3 linked regions of the Schizosaccharomyces pombe genome follow. Changing the gene in region 2 together with the main gene of any one other region gives a genetic interaction. Each region holds a gene or a part of one and is shown on either strand. Other genes may lie near its edges.

What was found.
Region 1: mutations in ppb1 (region 2) and its3 are lethal when combined (synthetic lethality), as found in Schizosaccharomyces pombe (2 studies listed by BioGRID).
Region 3: of ppb1 (region 2) and pmk1, a mutation in one rescues a mutant of the other (synthetic rescue), as found in Schizosaccharomyces pombe (4 studies listed by BioGRID).

Annotation. Positions count from the first base shown.
Region 1 is NC_003424.3:4,070,371-4,075,536, reverse strand, and holds its3 (1-phosphatidylinositol-4-phosphate 5-kinase Its3), read right to left. Parts: upstream 3,402-5,166; 5' UTR 3,162-3,401; coding exon 1,411-3,161; exon of another isoform or gene 1,358-1,410; coding exon 1,246-1,357; exon of another isoform or gene 1,243-1,245; intron 1,150-1,242; coding exon 784-1,149; 3' UTR 501-783; downstream 1-500. Other genes in the region: trehalose-6-phosphate phosphatase Tpp1, read left to right, coding at 1-270; protein Poz1, read left to right, coding at 4,781-4,886, 4,924-5,166. UniProt on the Schizosaccharomyces pombe protein: Catalyzes the phosphorylation of phosphatidylinositol 4-phosphate on the fifth hydroxyl of the myo-inositol ring, to form phosphatidylinositol 4,5-bisphosphate. Involved, together with the calcineurin ppb1, in cytokinesis.
Region 2 is NC_003423.3:2,871,785-2,876,945, forward strand, and holds ppb1 (calcium-dependent serine/threonine protein phosphatase calcineurin catalytic subunit Ppb1), read left to right. Parts: upstream 1-2,137; 5' UTR 2,138-2,212; coding exon 2,213-2,351; exon of another isoform or gene 2,352-2,395; coding exon 2,396-2,602; exon of another isoform or gene 2,603-2,756; coding exon 2,757-4,075; 3' UTR 4,076-4,325; downstream 4,326-5,161. Other genes in the region: oxa102 (translocase Oxa101), read left to right, coding at 114-1,343; S-adenosylmethionine decarboxylase proenzyme Spe2, read right to left, coding at 4,449-5,161. UniProt on the Schizosaccharomyces pombe protein: Calcium-dependent, calmodulin-stimulated protein phosphatase. This subunit may have a role in the calmodulin activation of calcineurin. Appears to be involved in cytokinesis, mating, transport, nuclear and spindle pole body positioning, and cell shape.
Region 3 is NC_003423.3:728,816-733,452, reverse strand, and holds pmk1 (MAP kinase Pmk1), read right to left. Parts: upstream 2,638-4,637; 5' UTR 2,594-2,637; coding exon 2,528-2,593; exon of another isoform or gene 2,428-2,527; coding exon 2,248-2,427; intron 1,975-2,247; coding exon 1,903-1,974; intron 1,821-1,902; coding exon 870-1,820; 3' UTR 501-869; downstream 1-500. Other genes in the region: serine/threonine protein kinase Vps15, read right to left, coding at 2,807-4,637. UniProt on the Schizosaccharomyces pombe protein: Regulates cell integrity and functions coordinately with the protein kinase C pathway (pck1 and pck2). Involved the regulation of wall architecture, cell shape, cytokinesis in exponential and stationary phase, and metabolism of ions.

The DNA.
Region 1 (5,166 bases), on a different chromosome or scaffold from region 2:
CCTTCCAGTATCAACAAAGGAGGAATTGTCAAACAGATTTTAAGTTCGTATCCAGAAGATTCACTTCCTTCTTTTATCTTTTGTGCAGGTGATGATAGAACTGATGAAGATATGTTCCGCTCTTTGCATAAAAACACTCGTATTAACAAGGAAACTTCATTTGCAGTTACCATTGGATCCGACAAAAAGCTTTCTATCGCCGACTGGTGTATCGCAGACCCTGCAAATGTTATTGATATCCTTGCTGATTTGGCAAATTTTACTAACTGAATGACAAACTAACTATTTCAACGAAGATGCCCGATTCATCTTGTTCTTTACAAAGATTTATTTATTGAGACACACAATCCTGGATCTTAGTTCAGCCTTTAAATTAATTTATGCTCTAGTTATTTATGTTTAGTTGAGAGGTCTTCGTAATTGAACTACTTCCACTACTATGAATCGCTCTTTTCTAAGTACATACGTTTACTCGTTACAAAAGCATACTTTCTTCCTAATGAATTTTAAGTTATATCATAATAATATAGCTTTTTGACAAAGATTGGTGAGGAACTGACGAACATAAGTTATTTGAGATGTAAATAATAAAAGCGCTAATTAGAGCAATAAGTTATAGGTTGTGCATCCGTTAATGCACTTCGGCATACATGCTTTGCTTTGTTTTTTCTCTAAAATAAAAAGATAAATTAGCCAATATATACAAGAATAAAAAGGTGGTAAAGCATTATAAATAAATGCATTAAACTTGAAATATGTGCACTTCAAAGACATTAAAATTTATTAAGATGAAGAAGTGTTCGTAGTAACATTGCGGCATGGGAATGGAAATCGGTGTTCTGTTTTGGGTGATTTATGAGCAGAAGTGCTTTTAGCATTGCGAGAAGAAGGAGCTGTATTATTATTAAGAGAACCATGCTTGTTATTAGTGCGCACATTGCCAGCATTAACGCTTTGCTGTTTGTTAACACGCTGGCCATCCTGCGGTTTTAAGGGGAATGGTTTCAAAACTAAAAGAGTTGGCTTAATACTTGACTCTACAAATTTGTAGAAGCGTGAAGCGTATTCAGCAGGTGGAACAGCAGAAATGACAGAATCTGAATGATTAATGCCCTTCCATAAATGCTCAACGCGCTTAACATATGAATACTAAACACCGGTAAGTATAATGAAAATAAAAGCAAACAAGGAAAACAAGTAAAAGACTTTGCATTCCCATAAAAAAATTTACGCAATTTATCATACCTTAGTAAGTAAGTCAATTATTCCGATATAAAAGATAAAGTTTCCTGGCTCATTGTTTTCATCGGTGGCTTGGAATCCACCGTCATCACTGTAGAACATGAAGTTTCTTCTCCTAAAATAGTGTTAAAAAATAGTCTAATTGTTAAAAAAATAATAAGCACTTACTCAACGAACTGGTCGGTCGGCAATAGATTACAAGATTGATCCAACGAAACAGGACCGGTGCTATTAACGACTTGTCTGATTACATGAACGTTTGAGTGAGATTCATTGCCATTAATCGAGGGCACTCGATGTTGCGACACATTTGGGTCGTAAACTGACAGAATGCTATTACGAATTTTGTCACGATTACCACGTGAAAGGTCATGGATGCCGACAAGTAAACTGTAATCCATAATTCCTAAAGAGGACAGCATATCAATATCGGCTTTGACCTGAGTTAAGAATATCTGACGCTTTAAAGGACCAAACTGAAGATGCATATTTCTGCGAATCCAATTTGTATCTTTCATTGTACACATGGGACTTTGACAAGGTTGATTTTCGTCGAGTTCCCTTCCTAGGGTGGATCCTTTGAGATCAAAAGTTTGGTGGATATCACGATGAGGTGGGAAAAGGTTGTTCATTACAACAAAATGGATTTTTCGGCCAAAGGGTAATTTTACCCTATGCAACCCATAAAATTGCGAAATCAATGTGTTCGGATTATTCTTGACGTGTTCGTAGTAATCATAAAGAATTTCACGCAAAAATTTGTGCTCAGAGTGATGGATTGTTTTAATAATGAATCGATAGTCACGAGAAAAATAAAAAAAAGAACCACTTTTCCCAGGAGAATCTAACTCAGACAAAATGTACTTACTGGTAAGAGATACAAGATAATCTGCAGCATCTAAATGAAACAGCTGCCTTAGATGTCTAAATACCCAAGGTGCATAATCTTTGAACTTAAAATCATACTTGGCGGAGGGAGTGAGTTCGTTGCCAGTAATGTCAAAGGTAAACTTGTGACGAGCAGTAAAATCAGCAGGAGTAAGCTCACGGTCCATTTTCGCTTGGCAACGAGAAACACCGACGCGAATTCCAGTAAGCATGTTGTACGCTGTAACATAGTTTTCATGGCCCTCTGAAACTCTAGTTCCAACGAGAACGCACTCATCGTCCAGTTCTTCCCTGCGACGGCGCATGTTAACACGTTTTTGTTTGACTGCTTCAGCCCAGCTAGCAGAGCCAATATCGGGGGGAATGCCATCCAAAAGAGAACCCGAGGTACTGACGTTGGTACCTCGGTCGCCGGATCTCGAGCCAGAAGGTTCAGCGTTGCTAGAATTTTTTTCGGAGTAAGATCGCTTTAGCGGCCGCTTCGCCTTCTGCGAGGAGCTGAGCGTGGAACGATCATTAGGTGGCTGCTGAGATGAGGTTACAGGGTTGGAGGAAGAGCGATCTATGGGGGCGCGAGAAGGTTGAGGAGAGGATAATTGATGCTTTAAATTTTGTAATTGGGGAGAAGAGGAAGAATTGGAGGAAGGAGGCTCGAGGGCACTTACGATGGGAGAATCTCTCAAGATACCATCAGGTACGCCAGTAGCCGTAATTACCGAATCGTTAGAAGAGGAAGAAGGAGAGTGGGCAGTGGGATTTGAGGGGAAATCTTGATTTTCCTTAAATAATGAATCGTTAGGTTCATAAATATGGGTCTCCGACCGAACTTCGATTTTGGGGTTGGTATGAAGAACATCGTGGCGCATCGTACGTTCGAAATCGTTTTTATGGGATATCAAATCCTTTTTTTGAAACGTACCATTTGGAGCAAAAGCATTCCCATTCAAATCGACAGCCTGCTTTTCATCATACGAAGGGATTTCGTTCGTTATAGAATGCGGATTCACTATGCCGTTTGAATCAATTTTCATTAGTGTTTCCTACAAACATATATGAAGAGTTAAAAATTTACTCGCCAATGGACTCCAAACACAATTTTTGATTCCGTTTTTTAACAAACAATTTGAAGACGTCAATTTCGTCGTTTTTCAGTTCCTACAAAAGCAAGTTTTTTCCCAAGTTATTCAAAATGTTTTAATTTACCGAAAAGAGCAGCTTAATTCTCTTTTTTATCAACTCTTTCACCGCAAAACACTTGATACCAGCGAAGTGTTGTTTCTACCAGTTTCTTCCCTAGATATATAAAGTCACCGGAGTTCACCGAATTGTCCGGCACATTCTCCAATAATTCGCACTAATGGCAGTAAATGGATAAAATTATCGCTTTCTGTATGGGAAAGGAGCAATCCCGAATTTACCAAGCCAAAAACTTCTGAAACCCAGTTCCATTATTGCGAATAGTCCATAAGCTTGCGATGTTTGAAGTCGTTGACAACGTCGATTTCGTTGAATGTAAACAAAACGAATCTGCTCAACGTAAACAAAAGCATCGATATGGGTGTGTTGCGTGAAGAGCTGGATGCTGTAAATCCAATTTTATAAAGGCTTACTTTTTAGAACCTCTATTAATCAATTTATAATGATTAAGCTTGCATGGATAAGTACAGCAAATGATTGAGCTATTTTGAAAATCTAAAGATTTGAAATTTCCTTAAAAAAAAAATAAATAATAAAATAAAGTTAAAAAAAATTAAAGTAAGATACACATAACGTATACTTCGTTTATTTCAAACATATCAATTTATTTTTATTTTCCAAAAATATATATATATATATATATTTAACAAAAAGAAAAAGGAAATATCCAATATTCCTTTTCTTCGTTCTCAAGTTTACTTTGAATGTCTATAATATAAAGAAGCTAGCACTGAATATTCAACTTTAAGAATCCATTGAAATTATAATCAAAGGACAGTATCTAATGTTTTTTGTCTTACTAGATAGATAATTGCTTTTCCCATTCCTTCGGGTTTTGTGCACAAGTAAATAAAGAACTTCGGATAGAATCTTAAGAGGCTTGGGTAGTAAAAACATTCAATCAGATGGATCATTTAGTTCTAGCAAATAACAAATTAGAGTAATTTTTGAGATTGAATAAGGAAAAATATCTTGGAAGAAATGATCAATCGCCTAAAGCATGTTTATTTCGTAAGCTTTTCATGTCTTAAGGCACAAACACCACCGTGATCCAAGGTAATTGGCATAGCGTTATGAAAATGAAGGACTTAAAATGGAGAGTAAAATTTATTCTTTTGTCACGCCAAAGTCGATCTTCCATTCAAATACTTTTTTCATTTGGAAATTTTGCTTACCGCTTTTTTGGATAAAGCAGTTCACTGTTTAAGGGAATAATTTATAACATTAAACAAAATACACTTCTTTAAGGAGTTAAATTCGTCTTCTGTACGATGTTCCAAGAAACATAACAGTAGACAAAGCTATTCGATCCATTCGTTTTTAGATTTCTTTATTAAATGATTTATTTTCTCTTACGGAATGGTATTCATTTTATCTCGTAGACCAACTTACATTGACTTTACCAACTTTTTATACTTTTATCCTTCGTGTATAGATTAGTTTTTTCCATAAAATGAATGAGAAGATTCGTTCACAATCTGTGCTGAATACACTAGAAACGTTTTTCATCAAGGAAAATCATTATGATATGCAGAGAGAAGAATCTTCCATTGTGAACGGTATGAAAGCCAATCTTGAAAATCATTAACCAATTAGCCTGCTTACGATATTTGGGTTATTCGAAATCAATGTGTCATGAAAAAATGCCGATATTCATGGATATCGCATTCATTGAGTATTGCTTCAATCTTTCGCTTGACCCTTCTTCATTTCAAAACCTTCCGATTACCCAAACTCAGCCGGATAGTCAACAAATTCTTTGGGAATATTCTCTTATTAGCAATGCTTTAGAGAGGCTAGAGAATATAGAACTGGAACGCCAAAATTGTATGAGGGAAG
Region 2 (5,161 bases):
TTTTGGGTTTAATCGCTTCATTTTATTTTTGGGTATCTTGGATAAACATTAGCTGGTTCTTCGATTTGTAAAAACATATATCCTTGAAGTTCGAGCTTCACTATTAATCAAGCATGTTTTCAGTCATTGGAAGAGGAATAAAGTTTTCTTCGAAATCTCATTACTCGGTATCATGCTTTTTGATTGCTACACAAGGAGCGAAGATTCGCCAGATCCACACACATAATACATTTTTTAAGAATTTCTCTTTTGCTAAGCTTGGCCGAAATCAGCGTACTTCTTCCTTAATAAAAATTCACAACTCTTCGACTTCTTTCCCCAAATCTAGGTCCGAGAAAGTGGTTTACACTCCTAGTCTGCCATTGTCGTCCTCCGTCTTAGCATCTTTTTCTTTCTTACCTCATAATATCCTCCAAAACGGCCTTAATACGCTTCATATTTGGAGCGGCCTTCCTTGGTGGGCTTCAATTGCTGCATGTGCTGTTGCTATGAGAATTGCAGTATTTCCTATTATGTTAAAGATGATGAAAACGTCCGCAAAGCTCGCTATCATTAACCCAAAGGTTGCTGAACACATGAGTGTGTTGAGTAAAGCAAAGGCTGAAGGAAACAGCGAATTAATGATGCAAGCTACCACTCAAATCCAAAACCTTTATAAAGTTAACAATGTTAACCCTTTGAATTTGCTTTCTGCTCCTGTATTTCAGGGAATTCTGTTTATTAGCTTTTTTTACGCGTTGAAGACAATGGCGGGTGTACCTGTAGAGGGTTTCACTGATGGTGGTTTTTGGTGGGTTAATGATTTATCCCAGCCTGATCCTCTACACATATTTCCGGTTGCAAACGGCCTTCTTATGCTGCTCAATATAGAGCTTGGTAGCGAAACTGGAAGTAATAAGGTTGCTATGTCTCCCTCAATGAAAAAATTTTTTAGATTTCTTTGCCTTGCCAGTCCACTATTCACTATGAATTTTCCTATGGCAATTTTTATGTATTGGTTTCCTAGCAATGTCTTCAGTGTATTTCAAGGGGCATTTTTGCGTTCATCCACCATAAGGCATAAACTTGGCTTACCAGAAGTCCCATCTGCTATGCCAGTACCGAACGCTCAAAATGAATCGTTTGTTAAGTCATTTACCGATATTGTCCATGGGGTTCAAGAAAAAGGTAAATACCCACAAGCCTCTGAAATACTAGATGCTACACGTTTCCTTAAAACCGATACAAACAATGAGCAAAAACCTACTAATAATAGTACAATTACCAAAGCTACTACGCTATCTGATAATTCTCAAAATGACAAGTCCTCTTCTGTTACCAAACCCACCGAGAAGAAAGATTAAGCTTTTTTGTGTGCTTTGGAATTCTCTTTCTTAGAAGTGTTCCAATGTCCTATTGAGAGCATAAAAGTTTGTAAGATATGGTTAATTTTTTACATTTGTTGCATTATTCATTTCTTTCCTTTGGCTTTATCCCATAATTTTACATATGTTTTAGTTTTTGCATATATCTTCACACTTGCAACACTCTTTTCTATTTCCTTTACTTCTAATAAAATACCCAAATTTACATTTATTTTGCTTATTCTTTCTAAAAATCGCTTTTGTCTAATTCTTTACTACGGAAAGCGATGAGAAATCAAAGAATATTTACAATAACCTAAAATTTGACGTAGCCGTCTAAACAAAAAATAAAATGATTATTAACTCTTAAAGTGTTTTATGGATATTTATTTTATCAATAAAACTATCGTTATTTCAGTTAGGTAATCATGGAATGTAAGTTTCATCAAATCAACTTAGTTTGCTTCTCTCAAAAATGAGCAAGGCAATATAATTAGGAAGGAATTCAGGTAGTATTTGGGTTCCCTTTCTACAAGTTCATTTCTTATTACTAACACGATTGGTTATTAAGATATGTTTGTCTAAGCGGCGATTGTTTGTAAATTTTTAAATATACAGAAGTAAAGATTATGATGAAATATATCTATATTATAAAAAAAAAAAAAAGTACTTAGAATTGTAAACAGATATGTTTTTTGTTCACATGGTTCATTGAGAAAAGCAATTACGAATTTCTTTGCTTTTCGTTAAACCATTTTCCAAAACCGCCGGGACGATGTAAGTATAACAAACCAGAATCTACCAAAACTTTTTGCAAGAATATCTAGCATTTTACCCAGGCTGTATATAGGCTTGCAAAAGTTACTAATATGACTTCGGGTCCTCATAATTTAGAAGACCCAATAGTTCGAGCAATTCGCCAAAAAAATCAAGCTCCTTCTCATGATTTTACAATATTTGTTCAAGAAGATGGCTCTAGTGTTAGCACACTGGATAGAGTAGTGAAAAGTACGGATATTTTTGAAAGAAATTAGTCTTATTAACAATCAAAGATGTTCAAGCACCAGCAACTTATATTCCGACGGACGTGGAGTTTTTTGATATTAATGAACCTGATAAACCTGACTTGCATTTTCTTCGCAATCATTTCATTCGGGAAGGCCGTTTATCTGAGGAACAAACGTTGTATATTATAAAAAAGGCTACAGAAATTTTGAAGTCAGAAGACAACTTGATTGAGGTGGATGCACCTGTCACTGGTATGTTGATTATCACCTTTCATATTTAGGCCCTAATTACTATAAGGTAAAATATTAGAACTTTGAAATGTAATTTATGACTATGTTTTTCCTTCATTTTAATTTGGGTCGATATTTTGTTTGTATTGCAATATTCTTCGGTCTGACAGCTTAGTATGCGGTGACATTCACGGCCAATATTATGATCTTATGAAACTATTTGAAGTTGGAGGTAATCCAGCAAATACCCAATATCTTTTCCTTGGAGATTACGTGGATCGAGGATATTTCTCAATTGAGTGTTTATTGTACTTGTGGGCTTTGAAAATATGGTATCCGAAAACGCTTTGGTTGCTTCGTGGCAATCACGAATGCGCTCATCTTACTGACTATTTTACCTTCAAGTTAGAATGTACTCATAAGTATAATATTAAAGTTTATGAAGCTTGTTTACAATCTTTTAATGCCCTTCCTTTGGCAGCTATTATGAATAAGCAATTTTTATGTGTACATGGTGGATTATCACCCGAACTACATACTTTGAATGATATACGAATGATCAATCGTTTTTGTGAGCCTCCAACTCATGGGTTGATGTGTGATTTACTCTGGTCTGATCCCCTTGAAGATTTTGGATCGGAAAAATCAAACAAGCATTTTATTCATAATAATGTTCGTGGCTGTTCTTACTTTTATAGTTACCAAGCTGTTTGCACCTTCTTAGAAAACAATAATCTCCTCTCCGTTATTCGTGCTCATGAAGCTCAAGATGTGGGCTATCGAATGTATCGCAAAACTAAAACAACCGGGTTTCCATCTTTGATGACCATATTTTCAGCACCCAACTATTTGGATGTTTACAATAATAAAGCTGCTGTTTTGAAATACGAAAATAATGTAATGAATATAAGACAATTTAATTGTTCCCCTCATCCTTACTGGCTTCCTAACTTTATGGATGTTTTTACTTGGAGTCTTCCATTTGTGGGCGAAAAAGTTTCTGAAATGTTGATTTCAATGCTCAATATATGTTCTAAGGAGGAGCTTTATGAAACGGATTTGAAAGAATCGGCTCCGACTCAGCATAAACAGCCTGCTCCATCTGAGAATGAAAATAAAGCCGACCAAGAAATTGATATTGAAGCTCGTAGGCAAATTATTAAAAACAAGATTATGGCTATTGGCCGTATCTCTCGAGTATTCAGTGTGCTTAGAGAAGAACGGGAAAGTGTTTCGGAACTGAAAAACGTGTCAGGTACGCAAAGATTACCTGCGGGTACTTTAATGTTGGGAGCTGAGGGTATCAAAAATGCTATCAATTCCTTCGATGATGCTCGTAAGCTGGATATCCAAAATGAACGTTTACCGCCATCTAATAGCCGTCGACGTTCTACGGATTTAAAGGCTTTCGAAGAAGTAATGAATTCGTCTGAAGATGATACCTCTATCGATCATTTGGTAGAACGCTTTGCAGATAAGAAAAGCTCTTTGTAGATACCAAAACCTGCGCATATTCGTTTTTTAGTTGGAATTTTTCAATGAGCATAAACCTGATCCGAGGTTTTAAGCATACTTACAACAAATATCTAAACACTCAAAATAAAGAAAGCAAATGAGTTTACTTTAGCATAATACAAGATAACCGATGACTAGATACATAAGCATTGCATTTAGATATTCATAATAAACTTTTTGGTATTCATAACTATGAAACCTTTTATAAAACAAGCAAACAAAAGACGACTACTTTTTGCATAATGAAAGATTGTAAAAAGGGGTATTCGCATGGCACGCTCCACCGTAAAAAAGAATGATAATAAATATAGCAACAGATAATTTAAAATATCTAGCTGACTGTTCTCCGAACTTATACTGCAGTAAAGCTGGCAAATATAAGATCATATCCAGGAAAGTCATACACTATAAATTCTTCACGCTTATAAGAGCTAAAAGATTTAAGTTTGGCCGAGAAATGCTTCTCTTGAGACGCACCTTTAGCCTGGAAAAGGGTAAGACAAAATTTGTTTGCACCAAAAGTTTTAACAGTTTTTTCGATTGTTTCAGATATGGATCTTCCGAATTGGAATTGCGAAACATTTGTTTCAAATGAAGCATAAGAACAATGTTCTTGAGGCGTAACATGGATTGTGGCATAGCGGTCCTTGTAAATCATATTCGACGAGAACCCAATTGGCTCAAATTGAAAAGCATCAAGCACTGCTTTTTTATCAGAGGTACTACATAAGTCTCTAACACCCGATTCATCAGCTACATAACTGCCAAGGATGTGACCCCCCGAGAGATTGTTTTTTTCTCGAACATAGTCATCACCTCTAGCGCTCCGAACAACATCCAAGGATGGAGCGTAAAACTGAAGCGAGCGTTCGGGAGACATATCAGTCATGAGTACCTCTAGGGTCTCATCTTCAGGATCAAGGGAATCTTCCAGTAAAGAATAATCATCAGCCAGATCAGAAAACAGATGCCAGTGATTCTTGTTTGTCGGACCCACTACATAAGAGCATCCACTTGGAAAAAACAGTTGTAAGTAACGAACTTCTTCCTCCCAACTCGTATGTG
Region 3 (4,637 bases), 2.1 Mb from region 2:
GTTTTTCCCTTTTATTTTTCCCGTTAGCCTTTACTGGAATCAAGGTCGCCCGCCTTCTGCTTTATTTCATTGCTAGTAATGGATGCCATAGCGGCAATTGCCAAAATTTTCTCCTAAAAAAAACTGTTCCTTTTATATAGGATTTGCGCATCATGATTTGCTTTCCCAAAAAACAACGGAATCTGTACGACCTTTTTTGCAGGTATTTGTAAAGGCTTTCCCTTTCTATTGTAAAACTTCATTCGCGTCTCGAATATCATCTTACATATTTTTTCTGATTTATAAAAATATGCACATAATTTCATATTCGACCGCTTTGCATTTCATTATAAGACGCTTCTACTTGAAGAGAGCTATCCTTGTGCACGAATGTTGTTTAATTGTTGCAGGATACAAATTCATGACTGATGTATTTATTCATCTATTTTGTCTTGGTTAGTTAGTTTTGTGATTTCATTGGGATGTTCCCTAATAAAGGAAATTACTCTACCACAGATATACTCGTTCACTAGTAAAAGTAATATTTTTAAGTAATTAGCTGTTCTATTTATATATTTTTCTAGTTGTAGTACGGGTGTATATGCATGCATGTATGTATAACAAAATGTTTCAAGCTGTGAGACTATAAAGCGTGCAAGAAAAGGGAGCACAAAGATCGCCAAATATTATATGCAAAACAGTAAATGAAGGACTAATGCAAATGAGTATTTTTTATGGAAATTAAACGAGCAAACAGAGATTCGACAGTAGCCAGCAAAGCTCAAAAGATAGCAATAGCTAATTTATGTAAAAATGAGAAAACGCAATGAATGATTTGTATGCAAATGTTACCGTAAAAAGGCTCAATAAAACCAGCTGCTGCCAATGTATTAGTTATGGCGATTATCATCAGACTTATGGTCTATAGCAGCAGTTTCATTATAAGAATGATCATGGCGCTTTTTGTTAGAGGTTTGAGAGGATGAAGAGCTACTAACATTGAAAGAACCATTGTCATTAGATGGAACGGTTTGGGCTGGTTGCGGGATGTTGACTGTTGGGTTTGTTGGATGAGAGCGGCGTCGGACTTTCTGACGGAAGTTTAAAACTTCATCTAAAATGACACGGCGTAACTCATTTGCATCCTCAATGTATTCAAAGCTGAAATCAAAGACGGAATCACACACAGGTTCGTCAGAGGGATCATGCCAAACAGCTAAATAGGGATGTTCTAAAGCATCGTCAACCGAAATACGTCTGTTGGGGTCGAAAGCCAAGAGCTTAGCAAGCAGGTCAAGAGCCAAAGGATTGGCTTTAGGAAAATTGGTTTCAAAAGGAATAGGTCTTTGCTTTGGCAAGCTTCGAACATACTCCTGTGCACGGGAACTGCTTATATGAGACAGGGTTTCCTCATCAGGTGTGCCAAGTTGATGCAAAATTAAATTTAACTGATGAACAAAATCTTTTCCCTTAAACAAAGGGGTTCCACCTAATAGCTCTGCCAAAATGCAACCAACACTCCAAACATCAATACCTTTATGATAGCTGCTGAACGAAAGCATAATTTCCGGAGCTCTGTACCAGCGCGTTGCCACATACTCCGTCATAAAACCAGGATTTTCTTCTGGATTTTCAGAACATCCGCGAGCGAGGCCAAAATCGCAAATTTTCAGCTCACAATCAGCGTTAACTAAAAGATTACCTGGCTTTAAGTCACGATGAATAACGTTGGCAGAATGAATATACTTTAAACCACAAAGTATCTGGTAAATGAATGATTGAAAATGCGCATCCGTTAATGGCTGACCGGATTTAATAATAGCATTCAAATCGGCCTCCATCTATTATAATAGTTAGTAAGTAATTATACAAATATTTCCGTGACTAAAACAGACACCATATGTGGATCATCGCGTAACATACCAACTCTTCGTAAATGTAAACTTCATTAAAATTGTATGGATTTATAATGTCGAGATCGTAAATGCAAGTAATCTACCATGTTAGTAAAGTTTATAAAAAATAGGAAAGACATCACTATGCAAATGTAAGACAATGAGCAGTTCAAATTTTTTAATCAACCGAATTCCAAACATTATATCAAGATTTATAAAGGAAATACTTTTCAAGGATGATTAGAACTCATTTCTCATAGAAGACTTTTCATTGTATAAAAATTTGCATTTTCATCAAAATGCACCTCGTTAATACATCCCGGTGATGATGAGTAATCAATCACAGGAAGCCGTTTTTGCATAAAAGACTTACGTTACGATGATTACGAAAATGAATCAGCAGTTTTATCTCTCTCAAAGCTCTTTTTGTAAGAATGGATTTAGAAAACACATTCGTAATTTTTTTTATGGCTACAGCCTCTTGATCTTTGCTAGCCACGTTTCTTGCTGCACAAACAATGCCGTAAGCGCCTTGACCCAACTCCTTCACTACCTAAACTATGTTAGTTTTCCTAAAAGTTCAAGCAGATGCGATTTTCTGTCAAGTAAACAAAATGTTTTGCAAATGCAGCAGTTACCCAAATATCTCATACCTTAAAATTAGGCTCGACATACATCTCCTGGTTAAACACACGGTAAACACGATGTCGACGGTCCATCCTTGCGACTTATAGCATGCAACTTGAATTTTTAGCTGTTTGGCAAAAGGGATGTGGAAAAAACTACAGTACATCACTTGTAGTGATTAACGATGCCTTATATTTCACTATTTGAATGCAAGTCGGTTAGATTTGAAGACTATCAGATGGAATTTATGGTATTAAAGAATATGCATACAAATCTAATAAATATATGAGGAATACTAAAAGAAACTAGGTCCAGAGTTCAAGACTACCAAAAGCGTCAACAATAAGCACTATAGCGTACGGTTGGTACAAGAAGGCCATGTCAACGATGGGGTGCAGACGATTTTCGCTAGGTAGATTCTTTTGCTGTTGAAGGAATAGAAGAGGCCTTGACACTCCCGAAGACTTTGGGCGTACATTCTGTTGTTCAGAGACTTTTTGGTAGATAGGAGGTTTGTTATGTATTAAAGATAGTTTTGAACTCTCGGAGTCGTTGGTCACCGACGAACTAGCAGAGACATTGTGGGGATTCCAAATAAACGCATGAGGGCTTCCAGAAGCGGCAATGAGAAAAAGTGGCTCTCGTTCGACAGAACCTGCAGACGGACCTCTGTACCTATAGATTGGACTAGATATACAAGGCCAAGGAGAGTCGAATTTGGTATTCAAATCTCTTAATCCCATGTCATTGCCAGAATCTATATCAAACTTTTTTTTTTCATTAAAAGCATCAATTCCAACAGATACCGGAATCGGACTGGTGAGTGAAGAATTCCAGTTTTCTAAGAAAACCTCTTCGGTTTTCCCTTTTTCAACGTCAAAATTTACTATGCCTGAAGCGGATCTGTGACTCGCTGGAACTGCATCTTCAAGATTAACTTCTTTATTATCCAAGTTGGTAAGGACGCTAAAACTGATACTGACTGTAGTGCTTCCAAACGAGTTTAACATTCCGTGATTTTCTAAAGGATTGATGGGAATAGTAGAGTTAATTGGCTGAGTACTACTTGAACTTGTACTTGAGCTACCTGGAACCTTGGTAACGGGACTATTGTTATTTCCGGAAGTATACTCATTAACGTTGCTACGTTTTTTGGTAACATCTAAAAGAAGATGCATCTGATCAATCCTGGCTGGCATATGCCAAGAGCATGATAATGTCCCAAAGCGGAGGTCCCAAAGTAAGAGCCATCCTTTGGTAGTCCCAATTAAAGCCCAATTACAACCCTCAGAAACTACTACACTAGTAGCTGACCCACACTGTAATGGTAATTGGTCTGATGACAAAACCCTCATCATTCCCACGTCTAAGTATACGATGCGTGACCATTTTGTAACAACGACTAGACGGATACTCCCGTCGTGAAATGTAGAAGCTTCCATGGAGGTTACAGAATCACTGAAATCCAAATTGGGAATACGACCAGCCGAAATTAGAGTATGCCGCTGATTGTTAACGTCAAGTCTGTGAACTTCCACAGAGCCATCTTGAGTAACAGAAGCAAAAGCGTATGTATTACCTAGAAAGCATCCATTGACCACAGAAAATCTATTCCTCTCGCCATTACGTCGCGTATGCCCATAACTTAATCGGCATTCACATCTCATAGTTGAAATATGACGAACACTTTCAACTAATTGCCATGCTCTTACAACACCGTCAGATCCCAAGGTAACGAAAAAAGATGAATCTGGACTAACCAAAACTTTCTTCGTACCTCCATCAAGAAGGCTTCCTAAATATATCTGAGCAACTCGTGATCCTTCTGGATGCCATTCATGAGTCTGAACTATTTTATTCGCAGCCTTCGCAGACACCTTTGTTCTACGACGCAAAGGTATATTAGAAGCCCAGCTTGGTGAAACAGCAGCACCAACGTTAAGTGTCGAAGCCGCTGCTTCTGCATAAATTTTATTTAAATAATTTAAGACGCATGGATTAGTTCCAGTATACGATGATTTTTTTGCGCCATTTTGCCTCGTGGTAAGCTTTTTCAAATCGATATGAGTAGTAAATGATCTTTGGCTTCGAATACCGGCAACATTAGTTGTATCATTCGTTGAAACCCTAGAAGAG